Astyanax mexicanus: one gene and its partner. The protein of the gene in region 2 purifies or fractionates together with the protein of the main gene of each other region. This does not show direct contact. Links are inferred from orthologs where the notes say so. Each region holds a gene or a part of one and is shown on either strand. Other genes may lie near its edges. The genes, in order: cep20 and ofd1.

What was found.
Region 1: the proteins of ofd1 (region 2) and cep20 purify together in Homo sapiens (co-immunoprecipitation; 3 studies listed by BioGRID and IntAct, with this or other methods). This does not show direct contact. The link is inferred for Astyanax mexicanus from reciprocal best matches to the Homo sapiens genes OFD1 and CEP20.

Annotation. Positions count from the first base shown.
Region 1 is NC_064412.1:25,899,002-25,911,934, reverse strand, and holds cep20 (lisH domain-containing protein FOPNL), read right to left. Parts: upstream 4,618-12,933; 5' UTR 4,589-4,617; coding exon 4,498-4,588; intron 4,152-4,497; coding exon 3,954-4,151; intron 3,249-3,953; coding exon 3,164-3,248; intron 2,876-3,163; coding exon 2,746-2,875; 3' UTR 2,503-2,745; downstream 1-2,502. Other genes in the region: ube2g2 (ubiquitin-conjugating enzyme E2 G2), read left to right, coding at 5,150-5,192, 5,718-5,753, 5,844-5,889, 6,981-7,099, 7,554-7,694, 8,046-8,158; usp40 (ubiquitin carboxyl-terminal hydrolase 40), read left to right, coding at 10,667-10,862, 11,343-11,395, 11,501-11,614, 11,701-11,865, 12,222-12,368, 12,564-12,707. UniProt on the Homo sapiens protein: Involved in the biogenesis of cilia. Required for the recruitment of PLK1 to centrosomes and S phase progression.
Region 2 is NC_064418.1:1,335,287-1,348,381, forward strand, and holds the start of ofd1 (oral-facial-digital syndrome 1 protein homolog), read right to left. Parts: upstream 5,894-13,095; 5' UTR 5,712-5,893; coding exon 5,616-5,711; intron 4,741-5,615; coding exon 4,549-4,740; intron 4,414-4,548; coding exon 4,345-4,413; intron 4,243-4,344; coding exon 4,215-4,242; intron 3,871-4,214; coding exon 3,760-3,870; intron 3,020-3,759; coding exon 2,883-3,019; intron 2,217-2,882; coding exon 2,043-2,216; intron 1,044-2,042; coding exon 937-1,043; intron 685-936; coding exon 565-684; intron 1-564. Other genes in the region: trappc2 (trafficking protein particle complex subunit 2), read left to right, coding at 8,138-8,230, 8,559-8,700, 9,152-9,246, 9,329-9,427; rab9a (ras-related protein Rab-9A), read right to left, coding at 11,437-12,042. UniProt on the Homo sapiens protein: Component of the centrioles controlling mother and daughter centrioles length. Recruits to the centriole IFT88 and centriole distal appendage-specific proteins including CEP164. Involved in the biogenesis of the cilium, a centriole-associated function.

The DNA of each region.
Region 1 (12,933 bases), on a different chromosome or scaffold from region 2:
GATTAAAAGAATGAAAGGAGAGTAAGAGTAGAGTAGTAAGGGAGAAAGAGAGAGAGAGAGAGAGAGAGGAAGATGTACTGTTGGACGTGTGGTGTGCCATATAAGGTCAGTGGGGTCCGGCTGGAATCCCGTCTGCATTCTGTGTTTAAAGGAAAGACCAAGTGACTAAATATGGTTCAGCTTCTGCAGCACTAATGGCATTGTTACAACTAACAGGACCGCGCAGAAACATATCTGTGCTATGTTTACAAACCTGCAATACACACACACACACACACACTAACTGCGCTCAGCCAGAACCAAGACCAATTAAGGGAAGTGGATGACAGCACCTGGTCAATCCTTAGAAGAAAACTGGGCCTGCCTGTAATGGATGTCACATTGTACAACAACTAATTACCGCAAGTTTTATTAGTGTTCATGTCTTCACTGACACTGATGAACATACACCACTTTCACTATTCCCTCTCTTTCAGTCATGCTACAGTGCTAATTACCGCAGCACTAATACTAGGCTGTGTCCAAAACTGAGCGGCTTTTTCAATGCCTCACTGTCTCACAAGTCAGGGCAGTGATGTAAATAAATCACAGCTGTGATTCCTGACATTATTCTGGTGTTCAGTTTATGAGACCAGTTAGCAGATAGCTGTGTTAGCAATTAAAATGAAATATATTTTCGGAACCTACCTGTCTCTGATTTCAGAATATGTAAGCAGTGTTTGCCATGTACACTGCCTGACCAAAAAAAAAAGTCGGCACTTGGATTTAAGTAAGCAAATGATCTGGCGGTGCTGCAGTTGATCAAGTATAGGTTTAGCAACAGTATGTGCTGAAAGAATGATGTCAGCTGACTACCTGAATATACTGAATATAGACCAGGTTATTCCATCAGTATATTTCAAGATGACAATGTCAGGATTTATCGGGCTGGAATTGTGAAAAAGTGGTTCAGGGAGCATGAGATCATCATTTTCACACATGGATTGTTCACCATAGAGTCCAGACCTTAACCCCATTGAGAATCTTTGGGATGTGCTGGAGAAGGCTTTGCGCAGTGGTCAAACTCTACCATCTTTAATGGTGTAAACTAAATGCAACGCTGGATTGAAACAGTTCAGAAGCTTATCAAAACAATGCCACAGCGAATGAGTGCCGCAATCAAAGCTAATGGCGGTCAAAATATTAGAGTGTGTGACCTTTTTTTTGGTGGCGACTGTTTTTGACCAGGCAATGTAATAGGATCTATTTTCAGCAGTTTGGGCATTTTTACACAGTTAACAGGGAAGCTTATTTCTGGTCAGTGTTAGGGGGGTTCAGGTTAGCACATACTACAGGAGGTTGTGGTTTTGCTTTCGTTTTTATTCTTTTCATGTTTTTAATGACACACAGGAGCTAGTTGAGTGATAATGACCCCTTTAGGTGGAGAATATTAAGCTTAGTGTAAAAGAAAATAAATAGATTGAAATGTCAAAAGACATTTACATTTACATTACATTTTTAACAGTAACCTGTAGCCTATAACAACTTACAGTACATTTTCAAGTAACTCTCCTAAACCTGCTAACTGATTTTTACTGAGCACAAGCAAAGGCACAAATAACAAATAAAGTATCAATTTCAGATAATTGTATATTATATACTGTATGATTTGCAGGCGTAAGGGAGCAGTCATCTGTATGCTGGAGAATCCTGCTAGTTGCTGAGGGGTGGCACATCTACCAAGGTATTGCCAGCTCAATAAATGATTATGAATGCCGTGTTCTCATTTACTATTAACATTTTGTTCAAGAAAATGCAAGGCAAGATTAGTAAACTTTGATTCATAATTGATATGGTGCCTTCCTGCCTCAGAATCATTTTAAAGTTTAAAGCATTTCTAAACTGACAGAAACAGCCAGTATCTGAATAGTTCCTTACTCCCTGTTTTGCATTGCATTGTGCTTTGTAACCACACTCAGAAAATGACAGGATTAAGTACATATTTCGCATATATGAGTATTTCCCCGCTTTAACACTTATATATACCTACTTCATAATCAAATACTAGTGAGTGTATATATATATATATATATGTGTGTGTGTTCAATTTCAATTTAAAGGGGGATAATTAAATGACATTATTTACATTAAATTAGTAAGATAATACATTTGCACAGATTTAAGCTTGTTTGGGAGATGTTGTAGAACAGTTGATTCCTACTTCCACTCAATGATCATGATCCGCTGGTGTATTAGAGCAGGTTAGAGGTCGAATGTCAGTACAGGACTAATTTCAGTACTAAATAAAACAAAAGAACAGAATGTTCCCAACAGGATTAAAACAGCTCCTGTAGAGGACTCATTTGGAACGTGGATCAAAACTTTCCAGGCAGTAAATTAAAATAAAAAATGAATTATGATCAATTCATGTGGATTTGTGTAAATCATTTGAACAGCCAAAATCTTTCAGCTGTGTGCTCCCCCGGTGGTCAGCACATGAATTACAGACAGTCGGAGACAATATTACTGTGCAACAAAGAAGGTTTAATACGAGAAAATATAAAACAGCATTAAAACAGACAATGCATGAGAATTAATATTAATATTTTACACTAATAAACATCTCATTACCTGCACACACTCTTAAATTGCCTGTTACACACAACATTTAACTTGTACTCAAGGCAAAAACACATTAAAATGAGCTGTTTGGGCACTTTAACATGTAAACAGTAATTGAATAATCTGATCTGATCCCTTGAGAGCTTATAAACTCTCTCCGTCACCCTTATTGGCTTGTTGGGGGTGTTGTTGGGGGTTCGGAGGGTTCCTCAGGAAAAGTTTTCCGCTGTCTGCACTGCTGAGGAAGTGTGAGAGCAGGCTATATAGCAGAGGACTGAAAAACAAACAGAAACACAGTCATATAAAGAAGTTCTGAAGAAGCTGAAGGAGTTAAACTGCATCAGTCTAAAGGTATGACTGAACTGCACAGAAGCTGGAATATTACAGCTGTTTTACACCCAGAAATGAGCGGTAAAAAAGTGATGGATTTAAAAACCTGATTCTCCTGCAAAGGCTCTGGCAAAATGATTCCCAGAACATTTTACTAAATTTAATATGAAAACTGTGGAGAGCTCTGTAGTAAGGGGACAGGTGCATTGTGTAAATGAGTGTGAATACTTACACTGCTGCAGCACTCGGCTCTTCTACAACATTCAGCTCACTTGCCAAGAACCGCCGGTCCAGAGGAACCTCAGGCTGACCTGACTCTGAAACACACTCAACACTTTTAGTACTTTAAAATGTTTTTTAATGTTGACACTATGAGTGATGAAACTGCAGACCTGAGGCTGTGAGATCTGATCATGTTATCTACTGATTTTAATTACTGCACTGGGGTAGTTTCTCAGATATATTACAACAATAAATACTCAGTTAAAGGAACAATATGTGCTAAATATATAGAAGTGTAAAAAGGCCCCAGACAGATGCCTGGTTAAGGATGCCGATCAGAGTGCAAAACAAGTACAAAAACATCTGCAATGGCAAATTAGGTTTCTATTTGTTGCTAAAGTTAGTCAATATAATTCGGTCATGCGGTTGCTACTGATGTATTAAACATCTAAGGCCTGTCTGGTCCTCCACTGTGACTAAATGCAGTTACCATTTACACTTTACCTGTCTCAAATTCTCACTGCCTTGATAACCCATCTGCAGCAGCACACTGTGTTTGCCTGCTAATGTGTTCCATACCTGGCAACTTGAGGTGTGGAAATAGGACTGGGAAATGGGCAGAGGAAGTAAGAATCTTCATAATTTCCCAAATCCTTTCGAAAATAAAGTACCACATAACCTTGCTTGTAACATGTGTTGTGATGCAAAGACCATGACGTGAAATTACTGTTTTATCACCCAGCCTTTATTATTAACCAAACGAGAAATAAAATTGAGTACAGCACCCCTCCTCAGCTCACCAGCGATTAGAACAGATGCCGTGTATCGGTACTTATTGAACTCCAGGTATTCACGGATCAGTTCATTAATCAGCAAGTTCTCATGGGTCAAGGGGGGTCGCTCCTCACTCTGGTCATCCAGTGCCCGAAAGACTTCAGATCGGATCCGGGCCTTCAGCTGCCCCAAAACACCCCGCGCCTCCAGTGCCTCCCGCAGAGCTGCAACAGAAACACATGACAGAACATAATTAAACAAAGCTCAACAAACACGCTTAAATGTCAAAACAGAAGTTTGTGTGTATTCGTACTTTCAATTCCACCTTAAACGGCGCCGTAGCTCTAATCTGGCGCCAGAGACGTTCCTACTGTTACAGCTACCAAATTTAAGGTGGAACGGAACATTCAACTCCAGTTTGGTGTTTTGTTTCCTAGTAGCCAAGCTGCTGCTGTCCTTCAGATACCGAAGTGCAAATGCTCGATCTTAAAATACATCTGTGCAATACATTACACTATCTAATTAATCGTTAATAGCCTGATTATTCACCCAGATTTAAACAAAACTTACCGGACTTTAACTCCGCCACTGTTGCCATGGAGGCAGCGCTGTTGTTACTGCTCTGCCCGACAGAACGCGCTACAGGCGGCGCTGCGACCATCGATATCGTTCTATTAAATTACATAATAAAAGTCTTACATTAAATAATGCATTAAAAATAACATAAAATGATGCATAAAACGGCTAGTAATCATGTTATCGTAGTGTTAAAGATCATAACAGCGAGCTGTGACTGATTCTAGACACTGACTAATGGTTATCTTATGAAATTTAAAGGTGACTTTAAACAGTTAACCGGTGTTTATTATATGAATTGAATGATCTTAATGTATGTGTTTTTATCTATTTATATTTTTTGCAACCTACATGCATGCTGAAATCAACTTTAGCGCTCTGGATAAACTAAGACAATACATTGTCTGTGTTTAATTAATAAATAATATTTCTGCAAAAAAAAAATATGATTGCAAGCAGGTGAGATTTGAGTGAGATGAGCACAAAATGTAAAGCAAGATACGCTCTGGGGCTTTTATTTTGTACTCTTTGTCAGTCAGACTGCGCAGATGTCGGTGGTGCTCTGTGATGGGGTGGCGCCCCCTGTGAGTGAGCGCTGGTACTGCAGATGTGAGTGGACTGGGCTGCACACAGAGAACGGGCCGTGATGGCAGGAACTGCTCTAAAAAGATTAATGGCTGAATATAAACGTAAGGAAACACGTTATTGATTCCCGGTAGAGAGTTAAATAAGCGCGGCCTGTTGCGGTTTTATCAGGGAGCTAGCAGCGACTAGCCGCTGAGCCATTAGCTGGCAGTGCTACTCCCCCAGTTACTAACTAGCTTTAGCAGGGTTAGCTAACGCCAGCTTGAGCTGATTATTATTATTGTTAAACTGACCCGAGTTAATGTTTAATATTAGAAATAAATATTTCCGGACGTTTAATAAGACCTTAAATGAAGCGTAAACTAAGCTGAAACACGTTTTAGTGGAAACTGTTTTTATTTTATTGGCTAGCTGGCCATTGTTTATTATTATTCCAGCTAAATAGCAAACCTACATAGATAGGTTAAGTTAGGTAGCTAGTTATTAAAGCTATATATAATTTCATAATTTTCTTGTTGAAATGATCTTCTTGATATTATTGATAATGATATTAGATATTAGATGATGTGGGTTTGTCTCTGATTGTATATTTAAGTGTGTGTGTGTGTGTGTTCGTGTTCTTTCATCAGAGCTGACCCTGAATCCTCCAGAGGGAATCGTTGCAGGTAAACAGACACCTGCAGCTTTACATACATATAGGAACGGACAGAACCAGCAAACAGTAGCTGAAGTGTGTCTCTGTGTGTGTGTTGCAGGTCCTGTAAATGAGGAGAACTTCTTTGAATGGGAGGCGCTGATCATGTGAGTCTATTTTCTCATGCTGCTTTAGCTTGTTCAGTTGGGGGGCTGGCTCCACTGCAGATACTAAATATTGACTTGTTTGACATCATCTTTATTCATGGGCAGAAGGAGTGAAGTACATACACTATACTAATAAAGTCTGACTGTTCTGGAGACTAATGCATCGGCATGGCACATAAACAAATCTGTAATAGAGCTGCCTTCCCTCCCTTTTAGGTTTAATCGGGCTATGTTTATTGAGCTGCACCCTTATTTAGTCCACTCTGACTTTCTGAGTTCTGGACAATATGCTTTTTCTTGCCCCTGAACATATACAGATATTAACAAGAACGTTTTTTATGTGTTTTGATCTCATTTATCTACAATAATGTGCTGTTTGTAATTTAAAAATGCTTTCTAGGGTGGAGATTTTTTAAACCTTTTTGTCATTTAAAAGGGAAAATTAAACTTCATAAAATAAATGTGTCTGGCTAAATCACAAATGCTGCCTTGCTCCCTATATGTCTGTCACAATAACATTTTCTTGGGACGATATATTAACTAAACCCAAACATAACTGGGGTAAACAATACAATTGTCCATTGATCCTTCATAATCCTAACAATGTATAATTTGGGAATAAACTGTGTTTAAATTTTTCTTTGTGGTGTTTTGAGGTCTCTATCACCTTATGCAGCGTTAGCATGCTTATGCAAGCCTTTTTGTCTCAGAGTGAAAGAAAACGTTTAAAAAAAAAGTGACAATATAAAGTCTTTTAAAAAAAATATAAGGTATTTTATTTGCATGTGTTTGGTCAGAACATTAAGCTGTTTGACTTTTATGATTTTCCATAAGATATTATTTCCCCCTGCTCGGCTGCCCTGCTCATATGCATGTTTTGGAGTGGGTTTTTCGTTCGTGGAGAGATTTTATAAGTGATGTTTTTGTTTTTAAAAATATTCAGAAATGTGTTGACAAGGCCTAGAAGAAAGAGGAATCATCAGCTCTGTTTATCTTTTACTTTAGTGGTGTTGATAATGATGAGAGTAAGGTATATATCTGTAAAAATAAGTGCAAGCAGAGAGTTTATTATTATCATTTGTCTCTTTTAGGGGTCCTGAGGACACGTGTTTTGAAGGAGGTGTTTTCCCGGCTGTTCTTAGCTTTCCATCAGACTACCCTCTCAGTCCTCCCAAGATGAAATTCACCTGTGATATGTTCCACCCCAACAGTAAGTTTATCCCTCATTCTATTCTTTAACTGATTAGAAAAACATGCAGTGTTTTCGTGTTAATTGAAAGGTTATATAGACAGATGGTTAACTATTAAATACAACTTTTGTGTGTTTTGGGGAAGATTTTCCTGCAAAACATGGAGATCAGTATTATTTCTCAAAGCAAGACATGAAGTGGTCTAAATACACTATAAAATATTAAACAAAATTCATTCATATTAAGTCTTCATTTAAGGACTTGCCATAACATACAGAAAACATAAAGAGTTTCAAATAGTAAATACCACTTTATTGAGTGTTATTTACAGGTACCAGCAAGAGTTTACTGACACATGATTTGAATGAATACTTTAGGTCTGAAGATCCACCCAGCTTCTGATTAGAAGTTTGTTTTTAACAAGAACTGGATACCGTTCTCACTAAAACAATTTCTGTTTGATTGTGTGTGTAGTTTATCCAGATGGCCGAGTGTGTATCTCTATTCTGCATGCTCCGGGAGACGACCCAATGGGGTATGAAAGCAGCGCTGAGAGATGGAGTCCGGTACAGAGTGTTGAAAAAATCCTTCTGTCTGTGGTCAGCATGCTTGCAGGTATGCACACACACACTTAATTGACCTTTATTTGGGAACGATGTAAACAGTGTGAACAAATCTGTCCCTGAAACACCACGCACTTACTAATTGATTTGTTTTACAACATTGGGACGCTACCACTATGATTGCGAGAACACTAGTTTGAATCCCAGTAGTTTAGCTCCATTTACCCCCATTAATTGAGGGATTACTAGCAGGCTGCCTCTAGTGTTTCGCAGTCATTTTTTAATATAACTGGGGAGATGGGAAGTTGGCAGGCTCTCCATAATCCGACTCTGATTCTGGCTAACTGTGTGCTGACTAATGGAAGTGTTGGTAATGGTGCTATTCCTTTTTCTTACTTTTCAGAACCAAATGATGAGAGTGGAGCAAATGTGGATGCTTCCAAGATGTGGCGAGAGGACAGAGAGCAGTTCAACCGATTGGCCAAACAGATAGTCCGCAAATCCCTGGGCCTCTAATCTCTATCACACACACACACACACACACACACACACATATACACAAACACATACACAAACTTCTCCATAACCTCCTTCATCACACTGAGCACTTTATCTGTGTCTGTCCTCTCTCACTGATACTGATGGATGGATGGACAGATGGATGTTAAAGATAAATTACACCTCCTACATCAGTGGACTTTCTCTCAGTGCAGCATTTCTGCTCCTTTCTGGACTAAAGGATTGAAATGCTGTTTCTTGGTTTCCATTGAAACAGTGGATGTTGTCCAGTCTGCTGTCTGAATGCTGTGGTGCATGTTTCAGTGCTTCATATTAAAATGATTAAATCTATATTCTTATGACAAGCAGAAGGAAACGGGATATGAAACGGTGAGAGATTTATTTGACAAGATTTGAAGTGATTGTTTGAGTTCCTCTGCAGTGGAGGAGAGATACGACAATAAAGTTAACTGTGATTCGTAAACATCTCGAGTCCCTGATTTCAGACTGTCTCTTACATTGTAGTAGATATATCAATGGGTAAGAAGTGTTCTTCTAATGAGGGTTACTTTACCAGTGCTGCATACTTTTTTTACTAAGATCTTGCATTTGTAATGGTAGTGTCTGTTGGCTGCACAAAGCTTTCTTCAGCACATCCCAAAGATTCTCATCGGGATTAAGATAACCTGCTTAAATATTTGCACCAGAAGTGCAAAAGCAGTGGGAAGACTAGTCAAGAACATGCCCAGATGCATTAAAAGTGTGATTAAAAACAAGTTATTCCACCAAATATTGATTTCTGAACTCTTAAAACTTTATGAACTTGTTTTCTTTGCATTATTTAAGGTGTGAAAGCTCTGCATCTTATTTTAGACATTTCTCATTTTCTGCAAATAAATGCTGTAAATGAAAATATTTGTATTTAGAATTAGGGAGAAACATTGTCTACAGTTTGTAGAATAAAACCACAATGTTCATATTACTCAAACACATACCTATAAAATATCAGAAAAAAATGGTTCAGAAACTGAAGTGGTCTCTTAATTTTTTTTTTCCAGAGCTGTATATAGTAAATATCTACTTGGCCAGTATTCCTTGGATATTTGACAGTAAAGTGATGCATTTTTCTAAAAAAAAAAAACAAAAAAACAAAGAAGTTTACCTGTATGTTTCATTTTCCTTTAGGTGACAGATTTCTGACAGTAAAGTGTGAGCTGATGCCAGAGTTATTGCCAGAGCATGTTTAAAATGCTAATAACTGGAGTTTAAAGCTTTACAAATGGCAAATCTGCAGCACTGGCACATGTAATATTGATCTGTGTTGGTGAAAGTAGTATAAGTTTCAGTATAAAAATCAGTGTGGTATGTGATATTTTTTTTGAGAGTAGTAGGCAGAAAGGTGTTCTATTAAAAAAGAAGAGCAACCTTTTATTAAGGGAAAAGAACACAATGAACATTAACTAGTTTTAAAGAACCATGAAAGTGACCTAGTTCATTTAAATAAGTATGAACTGACCTTTGAACTAGTTCATTTTTATATATTTTTAAAGGTATCCCAGATGAATGCTAATAGATAGCTGAGGTAAAATTCGCACAATATAAGTCAATGGGGGAAATTATTATTACTATTTTAAACGTTTCTTTTTTATCCTAAAAGAATAAACTGGCATTTTTAACAAGGCATTTTTTCATGAACAATAATAATAATTCCCAAGATCTGTAAATATGTTGGGTAGTTTTATGGGGACGTTTAACACGTATTTGCGTATGTATTTCTGTCAAAAACTCAAGTTTTCGTATCTAAAAACCGTATTTTCCTTTTCCGAAAGCCTAGCGGTCTAGCTGCTTGTCAAACTACAACTACCACAATGCATTGCAACACTGCTTCCTCCAGGAGAAACATGGCGGCGCTCTGAACAGCAGCGACACTCAGATTTAATTCGGCATAAAATTGAAAACGGAGCGGACCCGGGTGAGAACAGCCCCACATGTCTAATAAGTGTGTAGATGTTTAAACAGTTAGATTATTATTAAAGCGGTACAGTTTATTTCGACGTTGTTGGAGTTTAAACTCGCGACACAGGAAAAAAAAACACTGATATTCAATAACAATAACAATACAGATATCAATAACATTCATAGTTAGCTAATAACAATACATATATCAATAAATATAACATTACTAATGAAACTTTTCATATAATATAGTGTAACATTGCTAATCAGGTAATAGCCCTACTAGTCAATAAATATTAATATTGATAATAACTGATTACAATTTCAATCACAGTGTTTATATTATAAATACTGAAATACTAACTAACTGCTGCTAGGATCTTAACTGGGATTTGTGTAAATATGTTTGTTTACATTGGCTGTGATGTTGTGGTGTTAATAGTGATACTGGTGCTCCTCAGTAGGATGTCCTGTGAGGTGGATGTTCTGGACCACAGGTGGAACGTCACTGTCAGTGTCCCACAGCTGGACAGATAGCAGAGGACAAACACAGAGCAACCAGTGGGGAGGATGTTTGGGGATCTGTTTGAGCAGGATGAGGAGGGCCTGGGGGACTCAGGTGCAGGTGTGCACACTGGTGGGGGTAAAGAGCGTGAGCCACAGCCTCCTAGAGGTCCCATTCAGCTGAGTGGGATCCGGAACCAGGGTGGTACCTGCTACCTGAATGCCCTGCTGCAGACGCTGCTGTTCACACCTGAGTTCAGAGGTGAGTGAATTCACTTCCAACAGGATTTCCACATAAATGATGTTTCAGTTTCTGAGTATAAGTACTATACTACATTATATACTATTTGTACTATAAATCTGTACTATTATGTCAATGCAGTTCAGTTGAAATTTCCAGTTCAGTAGGATTAAAAGAATCACTGATCACTAATTTTAGATTAAGAATATCACGTTCTGATTTCTGTACAGCTCGAAGGTTGGATGTGGTAATCTGATTTTTCTGTAGATTTACATATGAATTGATTGTAGGCCACAGTCTTTCACTGTCTTGAACAGGGATTGGGGATAGTCCTGGACTGCACAGCATTGCAAAAAAAAAAAAAAAAAAAAAAAATTTGACCCTGTGGACACAAAGTCTGGGTCAGTCACACCTGTTCCCTGCTTGACGAGATGGATAGAGATTAGGAGATTTATATTTAATTTAAGTTAATAACTGTGTTTATTGACTGTGTTTTCACAGAGCAACTGTTCAGCTTGGAGCGGTCGGAGTTGGAGGCCGAAGGAGATGCAGGGGTGTGTGTGAATTTCTGTGTAGTTTACTTGTTTTGTGTGTGGAGCTGTAGAAGCTGAGGTGTGCGTGTTTTTTGTGTGTGTTTGTGTATATGTGTGTGTATGTAGGTGCGGGTTATTCCACTGGAGCTGCAAAGACTGTTCGCACGGCTGCTACTTTTGGACGAACAAACAGCATCAACAACCGCCCTAACTGACAGCTTTGGTTGGACCAACCATGAGGTACACACACACAAACACTCTATCTCACACTCTGTCCTCTGTCTGTCAATCACTATCTCTCTCTCTCTCTCTTTCTCTCTCTATAGGAAACAAGTCAGCATGACGTTCAGGAGTTAAACAGGATATTGTTTAGTGCTCTTGAATCTTCTCTGGTTGGGACGTCCGGCAGCTCTCTGATCCAAGAACTTTACCACGGAACGCTGGTCAACCAGATCACCTGCAAGGAGTGCAAAAATGTTAGCGAGAGACAGGTGGGTGCTTGGTGTGTGGATCATATAAACATTATGGAGCATTATAGAGCATCCCTTATACTTTCTGTAGTGTATTACAGTCTGTCAGAATGAGTGTATGGATCATATGAACAATATAGAGAATTAAAGAGCACCCCCTATGCTTCCTGTAGTGTATTACAGGCTGTCAGAATTAGTGTATGGGTCATGTAAACATGGATTACATCTCAATAGAACACCTTGCACACGTCTTTGAGTGTATTACAGTGTCAGAATGAGTGTGTGGTTCATATGAACATTATAGAGCTTTATAAAGTTAATGACATTTTAATGCTACTGATCTTGATTTCCTCTCTCCTTGTCCTGTTCTCTCTTAGGAGGACTTCCTTGATCTGACTGTGTGTGTGCGGGGTGTGAGTGGCCTGGAGGAGGCGCTGTGGAGCATGTTTGTGGAAGAGGAAGTGTTTGAGGGGAATAACTTGTATCGCTGCAGTCGTTGTGAACGCCTTGTGTGCGCCTCCAAGGCCAGTGAGACTGGATATATATATATACAGCTTGTTTTTCGACATATATATTATAAAAACTAAATGTAACAATCAAGTAATAACAAGCAAATTGGAAGATTATTAGATTTCAGAGCGTTGTTTCACAGTGTTTTTGTGAGTTGAACCTATTGTGTGTGTGTGTGTGTGTGTGTGTGTGTGTGTTTGTATGCACAGGCTGCTAAGCTAAGGAAGCTCCCTCCATTCCTGACTGTTTCTTTGCTCCGGTTCAGTTTTGATTTTGAGAAATGTGAGCGTTACAAAGAGACGAGCACCTACAGCTTCCCCCTCAGCATCAACCTTCTGCCCTACTGTGAACAGGTACACACACACATTCACACACACCATCACTCTGCAGCCATACAGTAGCAGTGTGTAGAGGTGTACATGAAGTTATGGACAGGTACTCATTAGAGCTGTGCGATTAACCATATTGTTATCGCAAATTGAGTTTCACAATAAACAGATTGTAAGAGCTGCTATAACACACTGAATAACAGCAAATTAATATTGCATTACTGGCAACTGTGTTTGCTAGCAATGTCCT
Region 2 (13,095 bases):
GAAAACTGTGGATCTCCACAGATCCAGCATCACAAACAGCATGTAAGCATTTTCAGGCTTTTCCTCTCTGTATTATTTATTAGAGAGGCTTCAGCAGGAGGACTCATCAGAATTAAAACCTACATTTCATCAGAGCTTTAATACAGAGTTAGAAAACAGCGCCATCTGCTGAACGGATAAGAAACAGAACAAACAGAATGACCTGATACAACTTTAACGCAAAACTCAGGAACTTAGGAAAACCTGGTACTGGTGTTGGATGATGTTGGATCATTGCTGTGAAAAGGATTTGATTGAATTTAGCAATCTGAAAACCCTGAAGAGAGCACTTCAGTTTCTAAATCCATTTCTCTGATTTGGCTATTTTTACTGTTTGAGACTTTTCTGACCTTCCTGGAGTTGCTACAAGAAGCTGAAAAATTTGTTTACAATGATTTTTCCCGCTTTACTTTCACAAATTAAGTGCATTTATAAAAATACACAGTAAAAAGGGTTCTTCACATGTTCTGCAGTAAAGTTTGTGGTTCTACACAAAACATTACAAAAGAAAACAGAGCATCTCACTTCTTGAGCTCGTTATTGAGCTTTTGGTCATATGTGTCCTCCTGGGTCTTTACAGAGAGCTCCCTCCGCCTCAGGAGCTCCTCCGTGCTCTTCACTTTCTCCTCATGAAGTTTACAGGTCCTACAGAAGAGATACAGAACATCAAATACTGCAAAGACAAAATCAGTAAAAGGACCAAAATTATGATTTTATGATGAGACCACTAGAATAGAACCAGTATTGTGTGTACCTATAAGCGTGTGTACATATAAAAGTCTCGTAAAATCCATTGATGAAACCTATTAATGTAGCAGTTATTTAACTTGTATTGTTCTATTCAGACCCCACTGAATGTCCTGAAGAACTCCCCACTCTTTTTAATAGTGTACTCACTTCTCAAAGGCCTCTGTTCTGAGCCTCAGTTCAGCCTCTCTGTTGCGGACGGTCTCGATTTCCTTCAGCAGAGCCTGACGCTGAGCATACACCTCCTTCTCCTCTATCTGAACACAACACAACACAACTCCTAAACACCTAAAGAACCAGGCTGGGACATTTTTACACTGAACTTGTTTTGTGTGGCTCTAATACGCTTTTTTGTTTAATTCAGTTTGTTTTGATGAGTGTAAACACTCCACCTGTATTCAGGCATGCATGCACCTTACTGTGCTTCATTGTGGACTGTGCTTTAGTTCCAATTAAATCCTGGTTTTGTTGGCTATTTGTGTAAACACCAAACAAGGAAACTCAGTGTCAAGAGTGTATATTTCTCAGTGCAGTCGTAGCAGTACTAACTATATAATATGCCTATTTAACATTATGAAGGTCGAATTGTGTTTGTGTATGTTTTGTGCCATATCAGCAACATATTGGCTATTTTATGGCATTGATAATGTTTGTGACTTAAGCATCAACGATTTAAATCAATATATATCAATATACATATTAAGGACTTCCAGAAAATGAAGTATTTTAGCTGCTGGAATCCTTTCAAACAGTTCTTTCTTTTATACTTGAATCCATATAAAAGTTGTTTCTAGTGGTTAAAAGTACAAAGCAGTCTACTATGATGTGTTTAATAGTTTAAAGAGTATCACAGAATTGGCAGGCTGGACTCTGTTCACCAATCAGGAGGTGGGGGTGGGTTAGAGCAGTATGTCCAATTCGGCACCTAGTCATGATTGTCTGATCTTGTCTTTTAAGGAAGTCCATATCGCATTTAATATTAGTGATGGGGGATATTTAATACAGTTTATTTTGCGGATTCTCCAATGATGGTGCCCCATCCAATACATCTGTGATAAAGGAGTGATGATCAATATCAATATGAGCAATATCAAAATCAAAATCTGGTACAATGTCTTCCCTGAACTGTACAAACAGTTAATACAACAAACGCAGGATGAAGTACTGAACTTTATAGCCTTAATTTCAGAAGAACAATGTTTGAATGTACAGGTTTCTCAAGACTTTTGTGCATATGGTGTATAAGAGTTTGATACCTCCTGCTGTTTCTGCAGACGCTCTATAGCATTCTTCTCTCGGCTCATCAGCGCTTCAGCCTTCAGCTCGTAGTTCTTCTCCAGGCGATGTCTGATCTCAGAGACTTCTCTCCGACTCCTCTCCTGTTCCTCCATCCGCACCCGGGACACCTCCACCTCCTGGAAGTGCTGCAACTGGAGAACCAACCACACCACACCACACCACACCACACTCATGAGGAGAGCTGCTACTGTAGCTGTACTACACTACATTACATTAGGCGCAATAGTCACATTGTTGGACGTGCGATGTCACCCAAGTCAATAAAAACTAATTCTTGACACGAGAATTAGATACACAATGTTCTGAGTGAGAAAAAAGGGCGAGGGGGAGCGTGAGGGGGAGGGGCAGATATTTCCAGTTACAGCTGAATTTACGTTTTTAATCCCAGAAAAACAAACGCTCTTATTTACCTTTTAAAAAAGGTAATTTAAATGCTTGATTATTGTTGTTTTGCTGTTTTCCTCAGGTTTTGAGTGCTTAGCTGACTCTAAAACTCTGACTCGGCTCTCAATCTGGATCTCTGTTGTGAGACAGCGCGTTGGTGGGGCGGGGCTGGTGCTGTCACAGGTCCTGCATTGTGTAATATTGCCATATATTGCAGAAAACAAAAACGAATGCGATGTAATTTTATTCCAATATCGTGCAGCCCTACATTACAGTGTACGGTTACTGCAGGGTACTACAGGGTACGGGATGGATACTAAGCTGTTCCAAGTGGTTGCTATGCCGTTGCTTAACCAAGCAACTGCCCATCAACCACACAGTAACCAGCACCTGGTGACGGATGAATGCAGTACCTTTGCTTTAAGCTCCGCCCGCGCCTGCTCCTCCATCTCCTTCCTGAACTCAGCGAGCTTCGCTTCCACCGATGCCCAGCGGTTCCCCTTCTGCCTCAGAACTTCATACTCCTCATCGACCACCTGCAGCTTCTCCACTTTACCATAAAACACACACACACAGTGTTTTTACACACACACTCTCTATTCACTGCCTAAAGCAGGGCTTCTCCCACCAGGCTTACAATGCTAGAGATAGACGCAAAGAAATCTACTGTGTGTAAATAGTGTTTTTAACAATAAGCTACCTATGCTATGCCCCCATCACTAGCATTTAAGTGTGCTGTATTTTGGAATGCTGGATGTGAATGGAGGTGGGCTGTGCAACAAAAGTTCATACTCATTATTATGTTTCACTACAACAAATGTCCATTTCACACCGGATTTCTCCTTTAATTTTATTATCATGCTTGGTAGCAGTTCATTTCAGTTTTCCAGCTGAAAGATATGAGCTCTACAGGACTAGGATAGTAACGATAGATGACATATATTTATACTTGTGCCACTACGTTGAAATTAAGTCACAATAATTTGATTTAACGAGCAAGAATGAATAGCTATGATAGAGGAGCAGATTTCAAAATGAATTATGTGAAAATGCATGATTATTACAGAGATATTTCCAGTTCAGCAACAGCTGGAACTCATGCATTTCCAAGGAGTTCATTTTCCAATATATTCCTCCCCTTTGCTGTTTGACTTTGTGATCTAATTTAAAGATGGTGGGAATCCCAGTCAAATGTTTCTACAGCCAGTTCAGACAGAAACAAGACATGGGTCAGGTTTAGGGTCTCAGGAGGTTAATCCAGTGGTAGTAAACAGAATAAAATGACCGTACCGAGTGACTGTGTGGAGTCGGGTGGTGTTGAGGAGGTCTGAGTATCAGCATCTCTGAGCTGCAGGTGAGCGCGGTGTGCAATCAACTCAGAGAGAAGATTCATCAACAGACCTGCAGAGAAAAAAAATCTTTATTATTCATTTACTTCATAAAACACAGATTAAAGAGTACTGAGCTGAGAAATCTCCAAATTCACAATAATTCAGATATTATTCTTCAGGAACTGATTCAGTTCTTGATTCAATTATTTTTAAAACATTTCAAAAATCACAGTGAATTTGTTTACATTAACTATTAATACAGTAGTATAATACAAACGACATTTAACTCAAATATAAAAAATATATATTTGTTAATATTTGAGCTACCATGTCTGAAAACAGAATAAAAAAAGCTTAATTCAAACCAAAAATTAAAATGTATTTAAAAAATGTCCGGAGGTAGACTCCACTCACCTTTCTGTCCACTCTGGACATTTGACACCTGTGCAAAAAAAAAAAAAAAAAATTACATATATTAGATGAATTAAACATATAATCTTAAGCCATTACATTACAGGTTGCCAAATGATAAAGTTGTGATTACCACAGACGTGTAGAGAGGTGATTGTGGACTGATCTTTAAAAGCTGAAGAAGATCTCTTGTTGAAAACACCTACAAATAAAATGTAAAAATGTTTTGGCGTGCACTGATACTATAACAGTGTTTTAAATGTAGGTATTGTGATATACTAATACACTAACACAGGGTTACAGTGTCTCATCAGGGTTAAACAGAAACTGGTCTGACCTTGTCTTTGCTCAGTCCGCACTCTGGGTAGAACACAGACAGCGTGTATTCATATCCACACCTGTGCAGGTGATCGATGACCAGACTGTTGGATGCCAGAACTGAGACTGAATCCCCTTTAGCTGAGAGCCCCCGAGGAACCGGTTCACCCGGACTCTGCAGCTCCTGGATCAGCTGGTTCCGAAGCTGAGTCTGAATCAAAAAGAGAAACAGGTGAAATCAGAAAATCGGATTTTTGCAGAACCATCAGATAACCACCGTAAAAGTGCAAAATAAACTGTTTCTGTGATTTTAATCAGTTTAGAGCAGTTTAGTCCCACCTATTCAGCCTGCCACAGTTCATTTCCACCCATCCAACCCACAGCAATTTACAAGAAATGTTTCCAGATAGACTGTTTTCTCAATGAGGCACAATACAAATCTTATTTAAACAGATGTTCCAGCAGGAACCGAATTAAAATGTCAGCTACTAATACAAACTTGAGTGGATTATTCTGGAGTAATGGGATACCAAACTTAGGAAAAATCTATATTCAGTTGTTAAAAACATAAAACAGATTTGATCACTTGCGTGCTGTCCTCTGTATATATTTCCACATCAGATATTCAGCCTGACTTTAATGCACTTGTCTAAACCCAAAAACAAGCTCGATTTCTCTCACTGAACACATAAAAAAGAACAGAACTGAACTGAAAAAAAGAACAAACATACACTTTTTTGTAAAAAAAAAAATTAAGTGATGGTGATCTTTAACAAAAGTATAGTTTTGTGTAAAAAGTTCGTGTAAAGCTGATAGTGCTGCTAGTTTTTTTAAACACTGTTAATGTAGCACATATTAAAAACCTTTTTTTCATAAACATTAAATATTTATATAATTATGTGCTCAATATTTATAAGTATTTTATGTAATGTTTAAATTACTGTTCTTTGTTAAGTTAAAGCTAAAAAGTCTTTAAAGTTATCACTGTATTGTGAGAATAGTAACGTTAAATGTAGCTAGATTATCACAGTGTACAGTGGTGCTGTTTAGTGAATATTAGTGATATTAGTGTTTAAAGTTTAAAACCTTTAAAGTGTCCAGAAGTCCTTTGTTTTTGAAGGTCTGGTAAAGCCTCTTCCTGAGCTCCTCTGGAGAAAGACCCTCTTCATTCACTGCAGACATTTTTAACTGATTTATCTATTAAATTTACTTTAAACCAGAACTTTAAACCCTAAAAACTTAAACTCCACTTAAAAACAGCTGGTGAACACATTTTAGGTAGATTCTGGATTTTAAGAACCCCCAAAGAAGCTAAAAATAACGATTAAAACAACCGAATATCACTGAAAACAAACACAAATCCAGTAACTGTTTAACTACGGTCACTACAGCTGCTATGTTTGGATACCGCTGGGTCCATCTCAATCCGACTCATGTTCCCTACGCCCTAAACTACATGTGTATTACAAAGGTCCTTCTATGAGTTTGCTCACTATTTAGCTAACCTACTACACAGTATTTATTATATAGTAAACCATGGTTAAAAATACTATACTTCTGTGTCAGTTACATAAATAACTTACTTTATTACCGTAGTGCTAATATATGCTACTATGCCGAGTTCACTAACTACGTAGGGAACGAGGACTACATTTGAGACGCCCCCATTGCAACCGTATCCAACGCAAGACGCCACACAGTTTTGCTTCCGAGTTCACGTGTCTTTTTTTGTTGTTTCTTTGAAGAAATAATTAATTAAAATTAATTTTATTTTAGTTTATTTTTGTTGTTGTCCATGATAAATACATTTTAAAAAGTGTATAGATTTAATTCTATTTTATATATACTTAAAAATGTGTGGGTAAGTGTCAGGAATATTATTGCTGTTTTATTTCATTTATTTTCATTTCATTTCATTCCTTTTCGCCCACTTTACTTTTTTGTCTTTTTAAAATAAACGTTATTAAGGCTTTATTTTATTGTTTATTTTTAAATAATCTTTACTAAGGCTTTATTTAGTATTTTTTTAAATAATGTTATTAAGGCTTAATTTTGCCTTTCTCGTTCACATCCGGGTTAATGTGTATATCTGTCCTAATACAAGAGCTGTTTTATAGAGAGACTGCCCACTTTATATTTCCGCTGTTATCCCCAAAATACTGAAGACCGCTAGAGGGCGCCCAAATAGTGAGTCCAAAATGTATGGGGGTGAATAGGGCTAAACGGCTAAAGACGCAAATTAAAAATAGTGTCTCACTACTTGGCCACGATATTCATTGAACGTTAGAAAGTGGAATTTTGCAATAAAAATAAAAATAAAAGCTAATAAAACCACCTATATTTAAATGTTTTTCAGTTAACTGATTGAGGTGATCTGATGCTAGTTACAGTTTAAAAGGCTTATAACTAAAATTTGAAAGCTTTAAAATTCGTACTGAAGAATCTGATATTCTTCATTGTTAAAAAATAAGTAAGTTTTTCGCTATAAAAATCCTTTTATATTTATATTTATCTGATTTTTTGCTCTATTGATCCATATGAACTCATTCATTTTAGACTCACTCGGGAGCGCTCTCTGGTGGTCAAACTAACCGGGTAAGATTTTCTCAGAGTGTGAAGTCTCCTCTCTGTTAGAGCTCTTTACTCAATCCCTCTCCTCCTATTGGCTGTTTCAGTCACATGACTGCAGAGGAACCGACCGACACACACAGGGATATCACAAACATTAAAAATAAAAATAAAATAATCGGTATAATTCGCTTTATCAGTTAATAATCTCTACCCGGATTAACTCCACATGTTTCATAAACCTCTGGATGTGATTAAAGGAAGTTAATCTCTTTATTAAGGAGACTCAGCCGAGCTTCTGGAGCCGCTTCTGTTTTTTAAGGTGGGCTGGAAGTTAAACTACATAATATCTTCATTAAATTTAACTATATTACAACGAGTAAACAGTATAACGTATTTTATTAATTATAGTGGTGCTTATATCTTACTGAGTCTGAGTCTCTGAGTGTTGTTAGACGCTTTATTCTTATTTAGCACTGAATTATTTAACTAAAACTGGCTTTATATCTAAAGAGGCATTAAAACCTAAATCATATTTTTTCCATTAATAGCTAAAGTCTGTTTATTTGAAGTAATGAAACATTCCAACCATATAAAAAGCCTTATACAATTTTATAAATATTTCCAGACATCCTAAGTTGCAAATAAATTTTAACGTAGTCAAGCTTCTGAAGCTGCTTCTGTGTTTTAAGGCTGGAAATTAAACTGTAGTTAATTAACTAGTTAATATCTTTATTTAAAATGTAACTATATTATATATAAAAAGAGTAAACAGATTGGTGGTCATTATATATGGAAATACTTTAGAGTAGTCAAAGGTAAAATGAGTTTTGATGGGATCCATGATGCTCCTGAATGCATCCCATCCAGAAGGGGGGGAAAAAAAACAATCCAATCATCTCTCCCTCCTGCCCCACCCCTAAACCCATACATCACCATCACCCAAATGTAATTGGTTGAGGTAACAGTACTGAATGTGTATTATCATGACATTTCTTCTTTCACAGTCTAATCACCTAGACCGGGACAGACGGTAGACGATGTCGGGGAGTTTCTACTTCGTCATGGTGGGTCATCACGACAACCCTGTGTTTGAGATGGAGTTTCTCCCTTCTGGAAAAACAGAATCAAAGGTACCATAATGCATCCACAGTGTTTTATTATATAGGGCTGGGCAGTATATTATCACAAATATACTGCAATAAAAATTATGTTAGTGAAATAGACATACTATAGAGCTGGATGTCATAATTGATGGATTATTTTTCCATTTCTGTACTATTCTATATGCTGTACTGTAGGGATATTCATACTACTTGTCTCCTAAAAGCAGAGAGAAATATGTCAGACCAAGTTTAGCATGCTTTTACTGAAGAAGATCCATCACACACTGTTCAGAAGGTGATGACGTGCTCTGAAGAAATGTCCTCTATATCCTCTATATCTTTCTCTTTTTTAAAGGATGATCACCGACACCTGAACCAGTTCATTGCTCACGCAGCCCTGGACCTGGTGGATGAAAACATGTGGCTGTCCAACAGCATGTACCTGAAGACTGTGGACAAGTTTAACGAGTGGATTGTCTCTGCGTTCGTAACTGCAGGTCATATCCTTTTTATCGTACCTGACTGTGTGGAAATGGTTTATTAATGCTGCAGCAGTATAATCTCAGACAGACTTAAATTAGCTTTAATTATGATAAAATGACCCCAATTTCCCTATTTATCACGGAAGAGAAGCTCTCAGCACAGAATTATCACCACTAGTGGTGGGCGATATGGCCCTTAAATAATATCACAATGTTTTATGGTATTTTTGTGATAACAATACTCTTGACCATACTCTGCCAAATGTAATGTTATATAATAACATGGCACAATCTTTTACCCCATACACATGCACAAGATTAAATATAAATTGGAAAAATTAAACATTTTTTTCACATTTTCATTTTTATGGCTTAAAATTTGCAAAAAATGTTGGAAAAATTGAAAAATTCAAGATTGAGATTTTGATTGCAGTCATTCTACACATTCTGCTCTTTTCCTTAGCAGTGTGTTCACATATCAGGTTCATCATGCTCCACGATGTTCGACAGGAGGATGGAATCAAGAACTTCTTCAACGACGTTTATGATTTATATATCAAGGTAAATATATAGGATTGTGTATTGTGTAGTAAATTCATTAATGTAAGTAAAAGTCCTTTAATTGCCTGTTTTCTGTTTATAGTTTGCGATGAACCCTTTTTACGAGGTGAACACGCCCATCCGCTCCACGGCGTTCGACAGGAAAGTTCAGTTTCTGGGGAAGAAACATCTCCTGAGCTGATCTTAAACTGGATCTATTCTGTTTTCACTTGTTTTTGCTTTAAAATTGTGTGATTGTACAGATTTTATGTTTGTGAGTTTAGTATTTACAGATCCTGTGATCAGTCATTTCTCACTTTGTCAATTGTAGGAATTGTGGTTTTCAGTCTGTACAGTCATATTAAATTACATGCATTTATATTCTAACTAAATATATTATAATATCAGCAGACTGCTTGTGTGTATGATCATATTCACCTAATAAAAATCTGTCAGTGTACACCTGCTCACCTAGTGTTTCTTCCAAAATCATTGCTTTGAGGAGGGTTTGATTGCATTCAGCCCTCAGAGTAGGAGCATCACAGATGTGCTTGCATATTTCCCTGTGTGAAAATAAACCAAAAACTCTGTCCATCAGTCTGGAGCATATTATGCAAAACTTACTTTTTGCATGCATTTCTGTCTCCACTTGAGGCTCGACTGCTCATATAAACATTTCAAATGCAAAAAAAATATGCTGGTGAGATAAGCGCTCAGCATATACATGGCGTAACCAGCAACAGCTTTATTTATAAAAGTGTCAGAGCCCTTAAACGGCTCATAATGAAAGGGACTGAAACTGGCGAGAATAGAGCTGAGAGATCTTTATCTTAATATGAGATTGATTTTATGTTATAACTTCGTGAACATGTTGTGTATAGAACATAGACCTATTTTAACTTGTGTAAAAAGAGGTATAAAATGCTTGAACCACATTGATTTCCACTTGTTATAGCGACGAAACTTGAGGACGGCATTGAGCTCTCATACTAAATTCAACAGTTCATTGAAATAAACACACTGTACATCATTTTCACCACCTCAACATCTTTGTCAAACAATCATGCATGCTTTGATATGCAAAACTTGTTTTCATGCTTCTTGAGGAAAATATACTTGCAGAGAAATCAATATTCATTAAACAGAATGATAATTTGCATTGCTCTGTATAATCAAGATAAAATTTATCTTTTCAGATTTGCTCTGAGAAATGTGCAACTTCAAAGTTGGGGACTTTATTTATATTTATTTATATATTTAGCAATATTCTGATTCAGCATTTATGGAACCATTCCAGTGTGTGCACAAAATGCATGAGAAGAAAAAAAAACAAAACAAGAAAACCACAAATTCAGCTCTGCCTTGTTATTTCTACTTTAATTTCCCGCTCACCACATGCAACATTTCATATCTCACTGTTAAATACGTGTTAATTCTTTTCTTAATATATCAATACTTTTCTTAAAGATCAATATTAGGTTCAAACCTAGTTGTGATGTTTTATTTTTTTAAAGACACAGAAATCACCACAGATCAACAATATTGATTAATTCTGCTTCAATTCCATGACAGATTTTAGTGCTTTTGATTACGCTCCAGAAACAAGTGCTTACCTTTAGTTTTTTTACTTCTGCTTTTCTCAACATTTTAATTTAAGCCATAAAATCTACATGATACACTGATACATGTCGACACTTGGCACACTCTACACTCTCTCTCCTATAAATGTTAATAGATTAGAAACAACTCCACCACAGTGTTTGACAAGTGCATTTCCCCTGCGTTAATAATTATTAATCGTTACAGGAAGCTAAATTTTCATAAAATAAAAATGTATTGCATCACTCTCAAGTCTCGATATTAGAATATATATATAGTGCTTAATGTATCAAAGTCTGCACAGGAGAGATTATGTCCATTTATTTATTTTTTTTGCTCCAACATCTTGAGTCTTGAGCTAGTCTTGAGCTGAGTAAGCATTTTAAAAAGTCTACAGTGGTACGAACCCAGTGTTTAGTGCACGTCTATAGTGAACGAGGCCTCAGAGACTCTATTCAGACTCTTCTCTTCTCTTCTCTTCTGTTCTGTCCAGCAGCCTCACGTTAGTTTAGTTTATGTTTTTATTTTCGTTTAGTCGAGGTGTTTTTTAAGTCAACAGCAGGAGCAAATTTATTATTTTCCAGCAGGAGGCGCCATTTAATTTCATCAACATCAACAGCAGGGGGCGCCAGTGCGCGGCTTCCTGTGCAGGTTGACCGTGTCTGTGGGGATGAGGTGCTCGGCTCGGTCCTCGGTGGCCAGCACTCTCCGCACAGCCTCCTCGAAGGCAGCGCTTACGTTGGTGGCGTCTTTGGCGCTGGTCTCGTAGTACGCGTAGTCGCCGTTGTCGCGGCACCACTGCAGCGCCTCCTCTCGAGACACCTGCCGCTCGCTAACGTCCACTTTGTTTCCCAGCACCACGAACGGGAAGGTGTCCGGGTCCTTGACGTCGGCGTAGTACACAAACTCCTTCTTCCAGTTGGCCAGGTTGCGGAAGCTCTGGCCATCGTCGACGCTAAACGTCAGCAGGCAGCAATCGGACCCGCGGTAGAACGGCGTTCGCAGACTCCGGAAACGCTCCTGCCCCGCCGTGTCCCAAATCTGCAGCGTCACCGTGCGCCCGTCCACCTCCAGGTCTTTATTGAGGAACTCCACGCCAATGGTGTGGAAAAGGTGACTGTCGAATTTGTTGGTGACGTAGCGATTCATGAGCGAACTTTTGCCCACGCCGCCATCGCCCAGCAGGATCACCTTCAGCAGAGACGACTTGGAAGACATGGTGGTGGTGGTGGTGGTGGATCTCTGCTGCTCTGCTGCCTCTCAGACACCTGGGAACTGAGGATTCAAGAAAGAGTTCAGAAAAATAAATATATATTTATTCATATTCATAAAGTTTTAAGAGCTCAGAAATCTTCGAATATTTGGTGGAATAACCCTGGTCTTTAATCACAGTTTTTTTATACATCTTGGCATCATGTTCTCCTCCTCCACCAGTCTTACACACTGCTTTTGGATAATTTTATGCTGCTTTACTCCTGGTGCAAAAATTCAAGCAGTTCAGTTTGGTGGTTTGATGGCTTGTGATCATCCATCTTCCTCTTGATTATATTCCAGAGGTTTTTAATTTCGTAAAATCAAAGAAACTCATCTTTTTTAAGTGATATATAAGGTGTATATATTATTACACAGTGCAGCAAATAAGCGAAGAAACGTTTCTTTACTTTTAAGCTACTTTTGAGCACTAATTATAACTATTTCTATTTGTTTTTTATCTTATTTAACAACTAGTTCTGTGTATAACATTATAAGCTGGTTTCCCAGACTGTGATTACACCTAGTCTGGACATTCTCCATTGAAAGGAAAATATATTCTCTAGAGACTAGGCTTAAACCCTTCCTGGGAAACCGGCTCTGTGTGTGACAAATACACTTTGACTTATGTTTATGGGTATGATGCTGATCATGATGTTTATTGATCTGATGTTTACAGGTAACAGTTAAAGAAAGACTTGCAGAATGTGAGAAAACTGATTTAACCTTTCACTTTAAAAGCTGTAGTTCAATGTGAAAACTGAACTAAACTTCATGAGAACTGATTTCCATAGGCTGTACAGTCCAGTTACTGGTAACACTTTATAATAAAGGGGACATTTAATAACAATATATGCAATATAATGTCTCATAATTATTAATTAACAGTAGTAAGACATTAATAATCATTGCAGAATCATATTTTTTATATAGCACTTTTCATAGTCAAAACTTAACAATAAATCAGAATTAGCTAAATTAGCAAAAAGATTATTGAGAAGAACACTCAGATAAAAAGAG